Linked DNA regions of Drosophila melanogaster. The gene in region 1 interacts genetically with each later gene. Each region holds a gene or a part of one and is shown on either strand. Other genes may lie near its edges.

Evidence for each region. A genetic interaction does not mean that the proteins touch.
Region 2: of Drp1 (region 1) and Opa1, changing one suppresses a phenotype caused by changing the other (phenotypic suppression), as found in Drosophila melanogaster (one study listed by BioGRID).

The regions. Positions count from the first base shown.
Region 1 is NT_033779.5:2,579,174-2,588,048, forward strand, and holds Drp1 (dynamin related protein 1), read right to left. Parts: upstream 6,258-8,875; 5' UTR 6,099-6,257; coding exon 5,997-6,098; intron 5,229-5,996; coding exon 5,084-5,228; intron 5,026-5,083; coding exon 4,361-5,025; intron 4,146-4,360; coding exon 3,694-4,145; intron 3,639-3,693; coding exon 3,293-3,638; intron 3,230-3,292; coding exon 3,001-3,229; intron 2,937-3,000; coding exon 2,725-2,936; intron 2,666-2,724; coding exon 2,609-2,665; 3' UTR 2,108-2,608; downstream 1-2,107. Other genes in the region: ND-B17.2 (NADH dehydrogenase (ubiquinone) B17.2 subunit), read right to left, coding at 183-253, 310-394, 446-623, 687-781; Arpc5 (Actin-related protein 2/3 complex, subunit 5), read left to right, coding at 1,196-1,408, 1,471-1,713.
Region 2 is NT_033778.4:14,228,564-14,238,079, reverse strand, and holds Opa1 (optic atrophy 1), read left to right. Parts: upstream 1-2,630; 5' UTR 2,631-2,765; coding exon 2,766-2,794; intron 2,795-2,892; coding exon 2,893-3,190; intron 3,191-3,251; coding exon 3,252-3,387; intron 3,388-3,520; coding exon 3,521-3,637; intron 3,638-3,737; coding exon 3,738-3,812; intron 3,813-3,873; coding exon 3,874-4,463; intron 4,464-4,518; coding exon 4,519-4,892; exon of another isoform or gene 4,893-4,950; coding exon 4,951-5,115; intron 5,116-5,176; coding exon 5,177-5,364; coding exon of another isoform or gene 5,365-5,378; exon of another isoform or gene 5,379-6,115; coding exon 6,116-6,588; intron 6,589-6,653; coding exon 6,654-6,772; intron 6,773-6,835; coding exon 6,836-6,920; intron 6,921-6,980; coding exon 6,981-7,185; intron 7,186-7,241; coding exon 7,242-7,306; 3' UTR 7,307-7,469; downstream 7,470-9,516. Other genes in the region: Snrk (SNF related kinase), read left to right, coding at 1-132, 198-323, 379-505, 576-1,241, 1,305-2,000; CG8468 (uncharacterized protein), read right to left, coding at 8,513-8,667, 8,785-9,516.

The DNA of each region.
Region 1 (8,875 bases):
GAAACCAATTCAAAACCTGAATAATATGGGAATAGGCAGAGTTACTTCACTTTTCTGTCCATTGCTAAAATTGTTCTTCGAGTGCAGAGTCAACAAAATTGGGTTTATTAACTCGATCGGGTGTTCTCATCAATCGCAGCCATTTGCACTTGAATTTAAAAATAATTATAAGCTATGCCACACTACTGCTTCTTCGCCTTGGGTTCCCAGGCCTCCACTTTGTTGGGTGTTGTGGAGTAGGGGTAGTAGGCCTCTGCAAGAGCAGGATTGAATTAGGGGGCTTACTTAATGGGAATAGTGCATAGTTACCCTTAGTTCCGGAAAGATTCTCGCTGTGGTCCGCTATCCACTTGTACTTGGGGCGGCATCCATCGCGAATGGGAGGCAGATCGGTCTATAAGGAAAAAGGTAATAACATGTGCGACAAGATGTAGTCTAAACCCACCTTGTAGTGCATCCAGCCGTACCACTCGGCGGGAATCATGGATCCATCGTAGTCCATGTTGACGTGGGGGGCGAACTCGATCCAGCGATTGCGGCCGTAGAAGTAGTACGGGTTCTCGAAGTACTTGTTGCCGTACTTGTCGATGCCCACCAGGGTTCCGATCTTCAGATCATCGTTCCTGGAAAATAGCGCATATGCGGTTTTCAGGATTGGAGCAATCTTATATAAGATCGAGACTCACCTATAGAGCTTCAGGTACGCTTGCTTCAGTCCTCCGGCTTCGCGGACCATCTGGAACAGCTTTGTCAGCCGGTTGATGCCCAAAAACTTTGCCATGCTGCCGGGAAAACCCAGAAATATATTAAACGTAAATAATTTCGATTTTCTTGGACTCACTTGAAACAAAAACAAAGTCAATCTGCAGTGTGGCCAGGAGAGGTCAAAAGCACCAGCTAGAAATACTGAATCATATCAATCATATTCTTTGAAGTAAAAATGGAACAAGATTGGTCGAAACCTACTCTCAAAATATTTTTAAAGCTCATTAGACTTTCATTTGCTGAGATAAGTGATTGTGAAACTCATGTTTTTTGTTGCTTGGATGTATCCTGTGCATTATTGGCGCTTTGGTAATAATACTGCAGCTAGTATTTTCTGAGGTTCGGCCACACTGCCACTCATCTGTTTTGCCTTGCCGGATTTTGTGATTCATATTTTTGTAGAGAAAAGTGGTGGGAATTTAGCGAAAACATGGCCAAAAACACGTCCAGCAACGCGTTCCGCAAGATCGATGTGGACCAGTACAATGAGGACAACTTCCGGGAGGATGATGGGGTGGAGAGCGCGGCAGCCGGTCCGGATGAGAGCGAGATTACGACGCTGCTGACGCAGGGAAAATCCGTGGAGGCGCTCCTGAGTGCGCTGCAGAATGCCCCGCTGCGCTGCAAGAACCAGAATGTGAAGGTGGGTAGCCACACCTATTCGTATCGAGAACCCTATAAAGCTAATCCTTCCTTGCATTGCAGGACCACGCCCTGAACATCACGCTGCGGGTGCTGCTGTCCATCAAGTCGACGCAAATGGACCAGGCCATCGACACCTTGGACCAGAACGACCTAATAGACGTGCTGATGAAGTACATATATCGGGGATTCGAGATCCCCTCGGAGGGCTCCAGTGGCCACCTGCTGCAGTGGCATGAGAAGGCCTTCGCCAAGGGAGGAGTGGGCTGCATTGTCCGCGTGCTGTCCGACACAAATCGCGCCTAGAGGAGATCAGCACAGCCAAAGGCGGTCATAGAGTCACTACCCCAACTGTTCCCTGCCCCATAAACCGATTCATACGCATCGCGGAGCATTTAATCAACACAGGATTGGAGCACTGGACACCACATCCTTATCTTCGGGATTTGCCACGCCCCAGCTGGAACCCACTTCTGTTTCTTCGCCGCAATACAAATGACGTTTTCCAAATTAGATTTTAACTGGTATCCAAGTATTAAAGTTTTTATTACGAAAGGTGAGTGGCAGTGATTTCAATCAGGGGAACGAACGTACTTCTAGTTCACTCAAGCCACACCTACATGTAACATAATTTGTAAGAAAAATTTTGTTTTTAGTAAGGCTAAGCAATTGCTACGCATCTCAAAACTCAGGAAGATTCAACTCCTATCAGATTTAAACACTTATTAATCTTCAGACTGAGCCTAGCAACTTTACGAACATAATGGCTTATCTAATCGAAATTCCAGGTGTATCATTCAACATGATGACGTTGCCTTCGTAAACTTTTAGCTGCCGTGACAGAAAACACATCTACTATGTTTGAATCAACCTTTTCTGCTTTATTTGACTATTCAATGTGTAATAAGTGCTTTGAGTAACCTAATCAAACCAATCACGGCGTCTACAACTTCTTATTAATTTAAAAAGCGGAGAGGCTCGATGATAGACAAATGCCAGGCGAATAGAAATGCGAGTTGGCTAAATGAAAGGCCCAGAATTTGGGGGTCGCATGCAATTTGATGATATTTCAGTGCTCGGTAGGGGGAACATTTAACAAAGGAGTTCGTTCTCTTTGAACGCGTCTTCAATAAATAGTTTTTATGTTGCTTATATGCGGGGATTATTAAGTCGAAACGGGTTGCTCCAATCGCTGACCAGCCTACCACATGTGGGTCTCGCGGATTTCGCTGATGATGTGATTCGCTCGCGTCAGTGCCTGAAATCAAAAGTAAGTTTAAAACGATGTCAAGCTAAGTATAAGCTAGCCAAGCGCACCTTCAGCATATCTGCCGCCTCTTTTCGGCGCACTGCAATGTGATCGGACTCGTTGAGCAGGGTTTCAGCCTTATCCGACTTATACAGATGTGTAACCAATTCGCTCTGCAAGTTGTCCTTAACGTAGTTAACCAAGAAATGCATGATGGCCTTTGGAACCGAGTCTTGTATGGATTTGCGCACAATGTAGAAATACGATTTGATCAGGTGTTCTAAAAACAAAAAGTAGTCAGATTGAGTTAGGTCTTTAAGTGGCCCGAGTTAAGTGCAACCCACCGATGACATCGCAATCCTTCTGCTCCTTGTCAGTGAGGCGACGTGGATTGTGGTTGGCCGGCACATCGGGCAGCAGATTGACCGGCTTCACTGGACTCACGATGTTATTGTGAACCGGAGTGTTGTTGGTCGAGTTCTCAATGCTGTCCGGACGCGTTGGTGCCGGCGGTAAAATGTTTGACAGCCATGTGCTGGCCATCGAAGGCGTCGAGTTCTCGGCGACGTGGTTCTAGAGAGCGAAACGAAAATGGGTTAAATAGGTTGCATACATAAATGAAGATTCCGCTGGCACCTGCTCATGCACTTGGCTATATTGCTGCTGTGAGGAATTCGGCTGCGGCGGCTGTTGCTGCTGCGGCTGCTGTGAACCAGCACTGTGCGACGAAATCTGAGGCGACATGTGGTTTCGCGGTGTATTGGCCCGCCGCTGCCCCAGATTTATCTGTGAGTAGGGATCGCTGTCCGTTTTCAGCAGACTGGGCACCAAAGCGGCATCCTTGTGGAAGTCGGGGTGCTTGGTGTTGATGTAGGCCAGCTCGATGGCCACAATGTTCTCCACCATCACGTTGGTGTGCGGCAGACGTCGACGCAGCAGCTGGGTGACCACGTCCACAATCTTCTCGTGCAGTTTGGGAAAGCTGTAGGGGAGATCGATGAAAACCTTTGGCGTTCAGCTATCATGAGTTCACATACCGCAGCATCTCCTGCTGCACTTCGTTGCCACAATGCTGAACAATGCGCTGCATCTCCTCGTGAATGAGTTCCACGCAGCGCAAGGAGGGTTCCTCCAGGCGGCGAATCTGGCGCTTCACTAGCAGTTCGAACGAGACCTCCGGAACGAACAAAGCCGGGCGTGGACCAGTGGCATTCCGGATGGCTGTCAGTATGTCCATCTTGCTCAGACCCGCCAGCGGGTGAATGGAGTCCAGGGTGCGGCCGAAGGTCTCGTGGAAAATGTAGCCCATCCGGGCACCGCCGCACAGTTCCGTGGTCTCGATATTCCTGGCCGTGCCCTCGATTGTGCAGCAGTAGGCGCTGGAGAACTTCGTGATGATCTGCAGCAGGGTCTGGCTCTTGTCGGAGACATCCTCGCCATAGGAGTTCAGCAGCGATTGGAATTGCGTGGCCATGATGTTGACGCGAGTCTGCAAGAATATGGGAAGTCATTCTCTTGAATTCAACATGCTATTCTAACCTTATCTGCCATTAATCTTCTCTTGCTTTACCATAGAAAAATATAAAGATCGATTATAATCGAGTGCCAAGTTTGTTTCATTTTTTTACATTTTCTTGAAGTTTTAGCCTGAGATTCTCGCATAGTTTGTGAAATCGATATGCAGTCTTTATAGACTAGACTCACCTTAAGATCTGGCAGGCAGTCCCGGATGTGGTGCATCAGGAGCCGGTTGAGGGTCTTGGCCAAGTAGGGCGTGCCGTTCCGGGTGGCCAGAGTGGGATACTTGCGCTGCAGGAAGGCGGCCTCGTCCTTCATCTGATCGTCGATGTGCTTTTGGTCCATGATGTCCTTCTGCGAGCGATTCATAACGCCGATGATGCCCAGCTTGACGGGAATGACCCGGCCGCACAGGATGTCGATGGCATCGGTGCCGGCATCCATGAGATCCAGTTTCGTGACCACGGCCAGAGTGCGCCGGCCATCGGGGTCCACGTCCTTGGCCAGCTTGAGTGCCTCACTGGTGGCCATGTCCGTGTTGGCGGCCGTCACAGCCAAAATGATGGAGTTCGGGTTCTCAATGTACTTGAGGACCAATTCTTTGATCTGCGCCTCGATATCCTCCGGCTGATCGCCCACCGGGACCTTGGTGATGCCGGGCAGATCCACCAGCGTTAGGTTGACCACGTGCGTTGAGAATATCTTCAGGTTGATGGGCTCCGGGCAGATGCCCTTGTTGCTGCCCGCCGCCCGCTCCGTTTCGTTTTCGATCTCCTTGCGGATCTCGTCAAAGTCCGTGAAGCACTTCTTGGTGTGCAGGAAGCGGCCCCACTCCTCGGCATTGGACGTACCTAAGTGTTATGTGGTTTAGCAATTGGGTTTTCCCGAACTTCTGACGTCTCAACTCACCATTTTCCGCCGAGCGATTCTCGCGATCATCGAGTGGGCTGTAGATCAGCTGGAGCACCAGTGGGCGACGGGTCACAATACCAGTTCCACGGGGCAGAAAGGATCGTCCCACAACGCTCTCGATCACCGAACTCTTGCCGGAGCTCTGGAAAAAAGGGGAAATGTATGTATTACTGGGAGTTAAAACGACGGCTGATAAAAGACGATGACCTGATAAGGTGGCTCCCAAGCGTTTGCAGCGAGGAAACACTTGGAAAACCGCAGATTAACTATTCTTATCTGGCAATGGGAGCCATTCTGTGATTGCAAATTTCTCAAACTTAAGCCTTTGCAACAGAAAACCAAATGAATGGTAAGAAATGGCACAGATTCAACATATTGGAGCTCCGCTGTACTCGGTATCAATGAGTTGCGCGAGCATTTAGTCATACTGACTTAATTCCAGAGCGTGAATCAAAGTGCAATTAAGCCAGCGATCGAAACATGCACACATATATGTACATACAGACACAACTATCGAAGTCACACATGTGTACGTTTGTTTTTTGCAGTGTGTTCGTGGGGGAATGTGTCACATCAGCCAGCAGCTGTTTTTTTTTTCGTTTTTGTATAATACTGTGGCATATTGATTTTCCATGGCGGCGGCGAGCAGTGCCAAAAATAATTATATAAACAATGGGGACGCCGCGAAGAGCGAAAGCTGGCTGAAATGTTGCTACAAACTGAAAACACAACTAAAATGCCGGCAAACGCACTCAGTTATATAATTTTGCGGTCACTGGAAAAGCGCAAGAGTTGGGGTTTCAGATAGCTGCGCCATATTCCGGTTCTCAGTTGCCACTCCTTTTACGGAGCTCGGGGATTTATGGTTTTCGGTGTGCGGATTTTTGGGCACCTCGCAGTTTGCATTTACCTGACTGCCTAGAACAACAATTTGGGGCAATTGGATGGAGTCGGAGCCCACGGTGTTGAAGACGTCCTGCAGCTTGTTTATGACCGGAATTAGGGCCTCCATTCTGAGTGTGTGTGTGTGCTGGGTTCCTTTGGTCGCGTTCCACTCGGCTGGCGATTAATTCGCGCACATAAAGGCCGTTCTTTTCGGCTTTTTCTGATTGACGCGAGCACCGAAATTATTTTTGCAAACCGCCAGTGTTGCACAGCAAATTTAGACTGTTTTTCTAGCGGTGTTGCCACACGGGCGGAACTTGCTGCTATCGGCAGTCCCTAGACGAGGTTGCCACCGTGCGCGAGAGTGCTGCCAATCTATTCCAAAAGGGCAGCTTTCTGTGCGCGCCAAAATTGAATTTTTGGGTGTTTCCAATTTTGCCCGTTAGTTGCGTGTATTGAATACTTTACACAAATAAAGAAAGGTATGATTTCATAACATTACTTAAAATCCCCCAATAGCTACAAAATATGAATGTCCTTTTCTTTTTGTTTTGTTTCATATTTTGCCTTTTTACTTATTTTATATGCACATGAGGAGTTTGTATTGATATGGACCAAACAAAAGGGGTCCTTACAAACCAATCTGAAAACTCACACACCACAATCTAAATCTGGCAGAATCTCAATATATTCATCGTATCTAACTAAATTGAAAAACTACACAGAGTAGGCGCATTTCTGAATACCCTTACAGACATAACAGTGAAAATGAATATATAGCATAAATATATTGTCTTTGATTTTGTCTAATTTCTGCAGAAATAAAGGACTATTTAAACGAAGAAATATTAAAGTTGGAGCAGCCGCCAAGTGGTCAGACCACGTGGCCCAAAATAGGGAAAAGGAATAATCTGGGGACCGGCCTCAAGTGCTCGAGATTTGCATGGGCGGTTGGGATGGGGACTTCCCCGGTTTTATATAAGAATTGCAGGGCAGTGAGCTGTGCCCCAAAACCAAAAAGGGGGCTACCCGACTATTTCTCGACCACACTCGATTGCCTGCCTGGCATGCATTGTGGGCGAAATGCCGGGCTCATCTGTCGTTTTTATCGGTTTATTTCAATGTTCGAGGATGCTTGTCGCCCGGTACACTAAGCATTCAAATTTCGATAGTGGCCTGGCCCAAATGGACCAGAATATTGGACGTACATATGTATGTACCACATCCATGTGCATAGAAGCCCCCACTCACGTATGCATCATGTGTCCTATTTGATAACAGTTCCCATTGTTGTTTGGCCAGCTCCTCCTGGCTGCTCCCAATTGAAAATGACAATGAAAATTGTTACAAGTTGGCTGATATCATTTTGCAATGCTCGCTTATCTCTTTAATGGCTTCCAAGCGATTTGAATATGCTTGGGATGATTTAAGATGACTTATTATTTACAATCCCATTGAAGTATCGAATTGTTTGAGTTTATTGTTCCGATCGCAGGATGGTAATATCGATTATAAGTAGTTTCAAAATTTAATCATTCCACTTCAAAATTAGTTACGCCATCCATGAAACTTTGATCATTCAAGTTTGGGATACTGACTAATCTCATTTCTTGCCCCATTATTATACATTCTGGCATTTTTCGAACTGCAAGTGGGCTTCTTTAGCATTTTCATAGATAAACTTTCGGCTTCCAATTAACAAATTTGGCTGGCAACTTTGCCAGCACACCTCTGCTGTATCTGTGTGTTTGAGTGTGTATAAATATTTCAAAATTTCCCCCATCAAATTGGCATTGTTGGACCGGGGAACTTTCGTATCTCTGGCTTGACAACTTGCCGAAATGTGCGGCGTGGAAAACTTCTTGAGTTTGAGTTGACAGTTATTGCGAAAGACGGGCGGGGGTGATGGTGATGGGGCACGCCCCCTTCTCGGGGCCGGAATATTAATTTGATAATTTCACGGCTGAATGCAAATTCGGTGTCAGGGTCCTTGGCTCTCTAATTGACTGACGAATACTTAAAATATGAATTTCAAATGAAGTTCAGCCATTGTCTGCTTTCTGGCTTTCTTTTGCCGCTTTTCGACTTGGCGCGATTAATTATGGAGTGATGATGATGATGATGGTGATGATGATGGTGTAGTTGAAGCTGGAGCAGCCTCTGCCCTCCGGTGGAGCATTAATCATGTGAAAGTAATTTTGCACATTTGCATGCGTTGCACAAAGCGATAATTTTCATCCATCATTTTCAAGTGTTTCCGCAGGATTATAGTGCTGCAAGGAGTCGCCAGCCTTTCGCTGTCATATCCTGCGTGTGTGCAGGATGGGTAGTCGCCTCATTATCCATCGCCATGTCGTCGTCAATTATTCTTGTTCTGCAGCCAGCCTGCAAGAACTTTGCATTTAGTTGATGAGCTTCTCTGCCCTGGTGGAAACCACGAAGTCCTCATGCTCCTCCTGCTCATCCTGCTCCTTTGGTGCTTTGCTCTTTTGTGCCTCGATGCCTTTGGTTTTCGGGACTCGGCTTTCATCTTTCGGCTGACTGCCAGTTGATCAATGGCTCTGCCCGTTTTCCATGGTGTTTCATGCAATTACGTATTTATATTGCGTATACGCCATGTGAATACGACGGATGGATGGAGAGCCCTTGAAGTAGGCGGCGTTACGGGGCGGAAACTTCTCCGTACGTTCTCGCCACAACTGCTGCAATAATGAACTTTGATTTTGCCCCTTTGCAATTCCCGGAATCATGAATGTTCCACAGCTTGTGGTCTGGCTGGAAAATGCGGAGCGCGAGCTGGGAAATATGCGATATAATTGCTGATTGATGCGGTTTGAAGGAGGTTGCTCTTTATGCTCTCGCACATTTTAATATAAAACTTGGTTGAAAGTATACAATACATTT
Region 2 (9,516 bases), on another chromosome or scaffold:
CGATTCGACGACCTCCACCTCAGAGCACTTTCTGCCTTTGGTCAGTCGCGAACAGCTGGGCGAAGAGGATCACGCCTTTATCATACAAAAAATGATAAACGGAAACATTGCGTCCAAGGAAGAGATATTGCAGTGAGTACAATAGCACAAATAATAAATCAATTTTGTCTTGCTAACACCAAGTGACGTCATTACAGAGCTCTTGACAAAAATAAGTACAATCATATAACAGCCACATATTTTTTGTTGGCGGAATTACGTCTGCGACGGCGACGAGAAGAGCTGGCTCAAAAACAGAGGCTGCTCAACGATGCCAGCATGAAGTGAGTTTAAAATAACAACCACCTTGGATTCTTAATCTTTTATATGCATATTCAGAGTGGGAGATGCGAGTCGCAAGCTAGTGCCTGAGAAACCAAGTCCAACCGAAGCCCAAAAAGGAGGAGTACCCATCAGCATTAACGTGACTCCAGCAGCTCAGTTTGCCAATGACGGTGGCAAGCCGGTAAGTTAATTAGCAATTAGCAATCGATTTTAAGTGCAGTAAATCTAATAAATGCAAGTGCTTTTATCAGGACAAGCGCAGTCGCAAGTGCAGCATTGTGCGTGAGGAGGACGAAGAGGAGTCTGCCACAGAATGCACGGCGGTAGGCAATGAGTTGAAGGTAACGTCGTCGTCGCGGCGCGAGGCCTTCTCAGATTCCCCCTTTAGTAGGTCAATACATGAGCGTTCCAGCTCTGAGCCCGGAAATCAAACGAAAGGCGAACAGATAGCTAATAGCGGAGTGCCAAGCCATTCACGTACAAAGATTGTCGTCTCGGTGGATGCAACGCTGGCCCATAAGCTCAAGCAGATGGAGAAGAGTGCCAAGATCGATGAGGACACGCTGAGTGGTCTGAAGGAGCTGGAGATCGGCAAGCTCAAGCCGCTTCCTAGCAGCAGCAAGAATCCGGTGCTTACCCACCGTCGCACAAAGCTGAACAAGATTCGGACGCCTTCATGCAGCAGCTCGGAGGCCTCAGACGACGACACCAAGACACGCAACAAGAAAAAGATTAACAAATTTGTCGGTGACACGCCAGTGCGGTTTCGCATGCATCGTCGCGACTCGCATGACGACTCCAGCGACTCGCAAGATCAGCTATATCCGCCGCCCGGCTCGGCCAGCAATGCGGGTAATTTTATCTCCAAAAGCGGCTCAGTAAGCGGCAAAAAAGAGGGACAATCGCAGTATAAAGAGGTACGATTATTATTGTATAATTATCAGTGAGACAGCTACTAAACTTATATTCTTTGCTTACAGCCAAATAACAAATCCGATGAAAATCGCAAATCTCACAGCCAAAAAAATCGGAAACAGCACAACAAGGATCATGTTGATAAGCATTCCCACGCTGAGAGGCAGCTGGCGGATAGCAGCACAGCTACAACAGGAAATTCCACGAATAGAAGGCGGCGCATTCGCGAGAGCCAGTCGCTGGACCGCATCACAGAGGCTCAGGAATACGAGATGCGGCATCGATGCTACGCGGAGAGCGAGGCAGCATCCTCGTCGTCCTCGTCCACCCAACATATCGATCAGAGATATTCTTTACTCAGCCTAAACACTAGCACATTCTCCGTTGCCGAAACCAAGGAGGAGTACGACGAGGAGGCAGACGCCACAAATGCCACGGACCAAATCATGAATACTTTGAATGCAGCCAAAGCAACGCTTCAACAAGAGCAATATTTTAATAACAATACCAATCTTAGTAGGAACTTCAATCACAATCACAACCAGAGCATCATCCACATCAGTAGCCAGAAAGCCAACGGCAAGAAGTCCAACGAAACACCAAAAGATATTTATAATCTGAACTCAATCGAGCATATCGACTTGATTTTGGAGGATAAAAGCCTTACCAAAGCAATACACGTTACCGGCTCTAAATGCTTTGTCACCATGAAGAAAATCCGACGGCTGGGAAAATATTTTCCCGTGATGAACTTCTCTTAATAGACACAGTTACTTCTTTGCAAAGTGCATTCTAAATATTAAAAAGAAACTCGGTTAAGCGAACTACATAGAAAATATGCATGTATTAATTAAAACGTATAAACGTCAACGTTATCCCCCGTATATAGGAAAGAGCGCGAGAATATTTAAATTTAGTGGTAGCGTAATTGTTTTGTCTGTCGTCGTCATTACGCTTAAATTATTCTAAATATATTAATTTATGTTAATTATAAGTCTAATCACTCAATGCAATATTTAGTGAAAATACATTAATGCCCATATGACAATTGACTAAAAAGGTTATTTGTTTTCTTTTTAACAAATTGTGACGAATTAAAATGGAATGAAACTCGCAACTCGCACAATCTAAAATTGGCAATTCAAATGTTTGCGCCCAACTACAGTGTGTACACACCACAAATGTTGTAGAGTAGGTAAAGGAAATAAAGCAATAAACATTTAACTACTTAAAGCTCTTAAGATGTAGTTAAGCAATGATGGATGTCACCAAGCAATTTTTTTTTATTGTAAGAAAAATATACAATATACAAAAATATATTCTTTTATTTTACAAAATGATGCGTGTAAAATACATTGTACCTAATGCAGGTACCCCAAACGAGTACAAGCCACCCTTTTCAACTCTGGTCACACAGAGCACATCCCGTAAAGTTTTTCAGAGATGAGTTTGCGGCAGGAAAATTGAATTATTCACGGAAATAAACAAAGTAAACTAAGTGGAAACTGTAATCCTGACCAGCAATTATGTTGCGCATCTATCAAAATACTTACCGGTGAGAGACCACGCCCGAAACGCGAAAGCCTTACGTGCAGATTTTCTGCACGATTTCGTCATCGGCGAATCTCATCATTCAATGTGTTTTGCCCACAGGCGCACCGCGAGAAAAGCTGTTGTCTACTCCACCAAGGTCGCCTGCTGCAATCATTCCACGCTCTGTGGCATCACCAGCCATCCACGTCGGGCGCAGGATAGCGGGAGCTCCAGTTCGAATGGCAGGCACCGTGGCCACGAGGAGTTCCTACTTGCCGGCAATCCGGCGCGGGGCTGGCAAATGCCTCCGCCGTCGCGTGGTTACGGAATGCTGGTGGTGCGCATACTGCGGGGAGCCCTCAAGCTGCGATACATCGTCCTGGGCGGCGCCATCGGCGGGGGCGTGTCGCTGAGCAAAGTGAGTTTCGCAAGTTATATAACTTGTATAGAACTTAGGAGACATGATTTGTTTTCCGCAGAAATACGAGGAATGGAAGGATGGACTGCCGAATTTTAAGTGGCTGGAGGATGCCATGCCGCAGGGCGAACGGTGGAGCCAGTTCTCGCGGAATCTCATTGAGGTGGGCTCGCTGGTGAAGAACGCCATCGAAGTTGGTGAGTGTCCATGTAGACCTACCATCGCCCTTTCAATCTCTCACTTTAAATGGTCATATACCTTGGTCAGATTCGCATTGAACTCTTCGTTTTGATTGATTGATACTGATGTTATTGGGGCGTTTGCTTGTAGATCCAAAGCTCAAGCAGCTGGGCGAGGATAAGTTGTCGGAATGGCGCAACTGGTTTGACAGTCGTCTGGACGATGCCATCGAGGCGGCCGATTATCAAGGAGTTCAGATTGTCGAAAGTAGGTTACACAAATTACACAGACTCCCAACGTTGGGACCATTTAAAGTGAGAGATCCCTATCTACCGCATTCGAGACTTATTCCTAACATCTGTTGCAGCCAAAGATGACTTAAAGGCCAAAACAACGGTGGCCGCTTTAGGCATAACATCCGATGAGAGTCGTAAGAAGTATGGTAGGTTTTTTGCACACCTGCCGAAAGATATACTATATCTAATCCTTCTGTGATTCCGCAGAGAAACTCCAGAGCCAGGTGGAGACGCTGCAGACGGAGATCATGAACGTCCAGATTAAGTACCAAAAGGAGCTGGAGAAGATGGAGAAGGAGAACCGTGAACTACGCCAGCAATACCTCATCCTGAAAACAAACAAAAAGACCACGGCAAAAAAAATCAAAAAATCCCTGATCGACATGTACTCTGAGGTCCTTGATGAGCTATCCGGCTACGATACGGGCTACACCATGGCCGATCACCTACCCCGTGTTGTGGTAGTGGGAGATCAGAGCAGCGGCAAGACCTCTGTCCTGGAATCCATTGCTAAGGCTCGCATCTTTCCCCGTGGCAGTGGAGAGATGATGACGCGAGCCCCAGTCAAAGTTACTCTGGCTGAAGGACCATACCATGTGGCTCAGTTCCGTGACTCTGACCGGGAATACGATCTCACCAAGGAGTCTGATCTGCAGGACCTCCGTCGGGATGTGGAGTTCCGAATGAAGGCGTCGGTGAGAGGTGGTAAAACCGTCAGCAATGAAGTCATTGCCATGACGGTCAAGGGTCCCGGTCTGCAACGCATGGTTCTAGTCGATTTGCCAGGAATAATTTCGGTGAGCAAGTCAATACAAGTAAAACTGCGCACATCTAATGCTAATATCATTTTAGACCATGACTGTCGACATGGCCTCAGACACAAAAGATTCCATTCACCAGATGACCAAGCATTATATGAGCAATCCGAACGCCATCATTCTCTGCATTCAGGATGGATCTGTGGACGCTGAGCGCAGTAATGTGACAGACTTGGTCATGCAGTGCGATCCCTTGGGTCGACGCACTATTTTTGTGCTCACAAAGGTGGATCTGGCCGAGGAGCTCGCCGATCCTGATAGAATAAGGAAAATCCTTTCGGGCAAACTCTTCCCCATGAAGGCTTTGGGCTACTATGCCGTCGTTACCGGTCGTGGACGAAAGGATGACAGCATAGATGCTATTCGGCAGTATGAGGAAGACTTCTTTAAGAACTCCAAGCTTTTCCAGTAAGTATAGAGAGGATGTGATTGGTAAATTCCAAAGTTCACCTCTCTCCATACTTAGTCGTCGAGGGGTTATCATGCCCCATCAGGTGACCAGCCGCAATCTGAGCTTGGCGGTGTCAGATCGTTTCTGGAAGATGGTGAGGGAAACCATTGAGCAGCAGGCGGATGCATTTAAGGCGACTAGATTTAATCTGGAAACCGAATGGAAAAATAACTTCCCCAGGTTTGTAAAAATGTTTTAAAAAATATAAGAGATCTATAACATTTGAGGTATACTCTTTTAGATTGCGCGAGTCTGGTCGAGATGAGCTGTTCGACAAGGCAAAGGGCGAGATACTGGACGAGGTGGTAACGCTCTCGCAAATCTCCGCTAAAAAGTGGGACGACGCTCTGAGCACCAAGCTATGGGAAAAGCTCTCCAATTATGTGTTTGAAAGCATCTATCTGCCCGCTGCACAGTCAGGTTCTCAAAGTAATATTTTGTAGTACTAAGTGTAGGTTGTAAGCAGATTTCGCCGACGTCATCGATGGGGGCACGTCCATCCAATCGCCCGCCTTGTGTGCTCCGTCATTGTGTGTGTTTCTTGCAAGAAGATATGGCTTGGCCTCGAACCTCACGTGTCTCTGCAAAACGTTGTGTCGTTTAAATGTTTTGTTTAATTTTGTATTTATCATGGCCCGCATTCAGCGTCGAATTCCCGTGCAAGGGAATCACATGCGTTAAATAATTTCAAACCGGTTTGACTGATATTCCTGCAACATTTCTTGAATCACAAGTGTAAATTTAATGTGTACTCCCCGGCGGACGATTTCGAATCCCATTAACACCGTTTGCCTTTGCCCCAAAATAGTGACCCGGGATTGTCACAGGTTCTGCGTTGCGATCATGTGCCGGAAAGTCGCTTATAACGAAGATTTACGAGCACCTGTACCGAAACCAGATTTTGGTTTATGTTCACATTATAAAAACGTATGCGATATTAGCGATTTATGACCGAAAAACCCGTTTAAGCCATCGCTCAGCTTGTGTTTATTTAGCATTTTATGACAGACCTGTTAATTTGCTCAATGAATTCATCCAAATCAATGTCTAATTGAATTAAATTGCAGTTATCGAGTTAGGAATCTGAATGTTTCGTCGCTTTGTTTATCATTCCCCCCGTAGTTGTGTGTCTAGTTAATTTGGCTCAACTAATTTCATACGATTACTATGCTCTTTATAGATTCCTTCAACACGATGGTAGACATCAAGTTGCGCCAGTGGGCCGAGCAGGCACTGCCCGCTAAGTCGGTGGAAGCTGGCTGGGAAGCGTTGCAGCAGGAATTCATATCGCTGATGGAGCGTTCGAAGAAGGCGCAGGATCACGACGGCATCTTCGATCAGTTGAAGTCTGCGGTGGTGGATGAGGCTATACGTCGGCACAGCTGGGAGGACAAGGCCATCGACATGCTTCGCGTTATCCAGCTGAATACGCTGGAGGATCGGTTCGTGCACGACAAGCAGGAGTGGGATTCGGCGGTTAAGTTCCTGGAGAGTTCGGTGAATGCCAAGCTCGTGCAGACGGAGGAGACTTTAGCACAAATGTTTGGTCCCGGCCAAATGCGACGAATTACCCACTGGCAGTACCTGACGCAGGATCAGCAGAAGAGGCGAAGCGTTAAGAACGAACTCGACAAAATACTCAAAAACGATACGGTATGGGTAGTATACATTATATAGTTAGTTATTCCTCATTTACACGCATTACATTATGTTGGTAGAAACATTTGCCCACCCTGACCCATGATGAACTGACTACGGTTCGCAAGAACCTTCAGCGTGATAACGTGGATGTGGACACGGACTACATAAGGCAAACGTGGTTCCCGGTCTACAGAAAGTAAGTTGTAATGCTAAACCATTTAGACTGCTTATCAGTTAGCACATATGTCTCTTTTTTCAGACACTTTCTGCAGCAGGCGTTACAGAGGGCAAAGGATTGCCGCAAAGCATATTACCTCTACACGCAGCAGGGAGCCGAGTGTGAGGTAAGTGTTAAGGTTTTCCCTCTTATCTGAACCAATTTACTTAACTTATTGCTTTCTCAGATATCCTGCAGCGACGTCGTGCTCTTCTGGCGCATCCAGCAGGTGATCAAGATAACAGGCAACGCACTGAGACAGCAAGTAATCAATCGGGAGGCGCGGCGGCTGGACAAGGAGATCAAAGCGGTGCTGGACGAGTTCAGCGATGACGAGGAGAAGAAGGGTTACCTGCTCACCGGCAAGCGCGTGCTACTAGCCGAGGAGCTAAGTGAGTGCTTTGCTTAATTGAATTTGGCGCCAATTTAATTGCTTTCAATTCAACAGTCAAAGTGCGGCAGATCCAAGAGAAGCTGGAGGAGTTCATCAATTCACTTAATCAGGAAAAGTAGTGTGCCATGACCAAAGACACAACACCCGAGGCGTTACTTATTTAACTTGATAGTTTAAGACCACATTTGAAATGTTTGTTCATAGTCACGCTTGAGCCCCTTAGTTAAGCATACTTTGTGCTCCGAAAGTAATAAACAAATAGATCGTTAGTTCGTATTATTGAAATCGTCTTTATTGTTTATGAAGTGTAACCTTATGTCGCATGCAATGCAATGTAAACTCATTAATTTAAATGTAATATAAATCATTCATTCTGTTTTAATGTAATTGTAGTTGATAAACGTTAACGCGAAACGCACTCATCGTGCTGAGTATGTAGCGGTCCGTGTGTGTTTCTGAATCTGTATCGTGTAATATATATATATACATATATATTTAAATCGGTTTGCATAAGAGCACAGCACTTTTACCAGATGCCTCATCGTGCGGTTGATTGTTTGTTTCGTTTTGTCCACGATCGGCTAATCCCGCGATGCGCCGGCATCTGTATCGGTATCGAGATCGGTGGTGGGTGCATTAACCCCGACCGATCGTCTGGCCGCGTCTCTAATTGATTGATTGTTTGATTGATAAACGTATATCTAGCTAACTATGTATGTAGCTAGCTATGTAACATAACAAGTCCGTGATTGCGGTGCAGTACCATATCTCTTACAAGGTAAACAAATGCTCGTTCCCTATCATGTTAAATAACTCAACAAACGATTCTTAACTTGGCAGTCGACTTGTGGCCCAGCCATAGCCATGTGCTCAGCTGCTTAAGGCTATCGTAATAATATTAATAATGTGTTCGGTTCTCCTCCACTCCGATCCTCCGCTTAGTCTAGCTGCTAAATTCTAGTCCACATATGGGCTCCTCCACTAAAGCTTATAGAAACATAATTTACACTCGCGCTCCACTCTGCTCGTATGCGTGTGATTTGGGATAGGGTTGGTTGTGTGGTATTAGGGGTGTGTGTGGTAGGCACTCGATATCGCTGAAGGCACAACATTACGATTAGTCTTATCTTAATTGTATTAAGTACTCGGAACACGCTTTCGCACTCGCTTCCCTCCGAAATCGGGAGTTCCTTCGACAGGATGAGTGATTGTCAATTAATGTTGCCAATACCGAAAGGTGCTATCGAAGATAGTTGTGGCTGCGATGACTGCGAGGTGTTCAGGCTGTCTGGCATGTCTTCATTCGCTCCGATCCAAGCAGCTCCTTAGGCCGCCGGCAGGGGTGTTAGCTTCTCGTTGCGCCGCTCCTCCCATCGGCTGACCCAGGTGAGCGGGTAGCACAGGAAGGCCGAGAGGAGGATCAGGCCACCAGCGAAGTAGAAGGCGGCGTTGTAGCTGCCTGTCATCACATAGAGGCCACCTGTTGGATAAATGAATAAACAAATCTTTAGTTCAAGTTTCATCCGATCTCTAAGAACCTCTTTAATTGGCCAAAACTATTTAGTTTATACCATTGCCACTGCTGTCGGAAACTCACCTGCAATGGGACTGCCGAAAGTAGCTGCCAATCCCTGGAAGAGCATCAGGAATCCGTACGCGTTGGTCAGCTTCTCCAGTCCGATCAGCTCCACGGCGATCAGGGATCGCAGGGCGGAGAAGCAGGCAATGCAGATACCGAAGAACAGGGCGAATGTCCACTGGGTGGCCGTGTTGATGACAATGCCGCTGCAGATGGTAGCGATGCCGCCGGCGGTTAGGGCAAAGTTGTTCAGCCAGAGTGGCTTTACGGCAGGGAAGGAACTAAGGGATCCGCACACGATCCTAGCAAATGTGTTTACAACGCCAATTCCGGAGAGCACTCCATAGGCCGCCTGTTCATCCATACCCGCTGCCTTGGCGCGATCCACCAGGAAGGTAAAAGGCACGAAGAAGCCCATCATGGTGAGGAAGCCGCTGAAGGCCAGGCACATGAAGGCGGGCGATTTGAGCAGCGTGGTGTCCAACATGGTGGATAAGGTGCGACGCACTGCCTCCGGACAGATGCGGCATCCCTTCTGCCGATCCTCCAGCATGTCCTGCTTGGTGGGCAGACGCGTCACAGACATGTGGTAGGCCAGCGAGGTCTGCGATTGGTATTGCGGAATCCTGGTCAGAGATCCAGAGAAGAAGATATCGTCTCGGTACATTGGTCTGGATGAGGAGTGCGACTGTCCATGGTGGGCCTCGTGAGCTGCAGCGGCGGATCGCTTGCCAATGTCCTGAGGTCTGC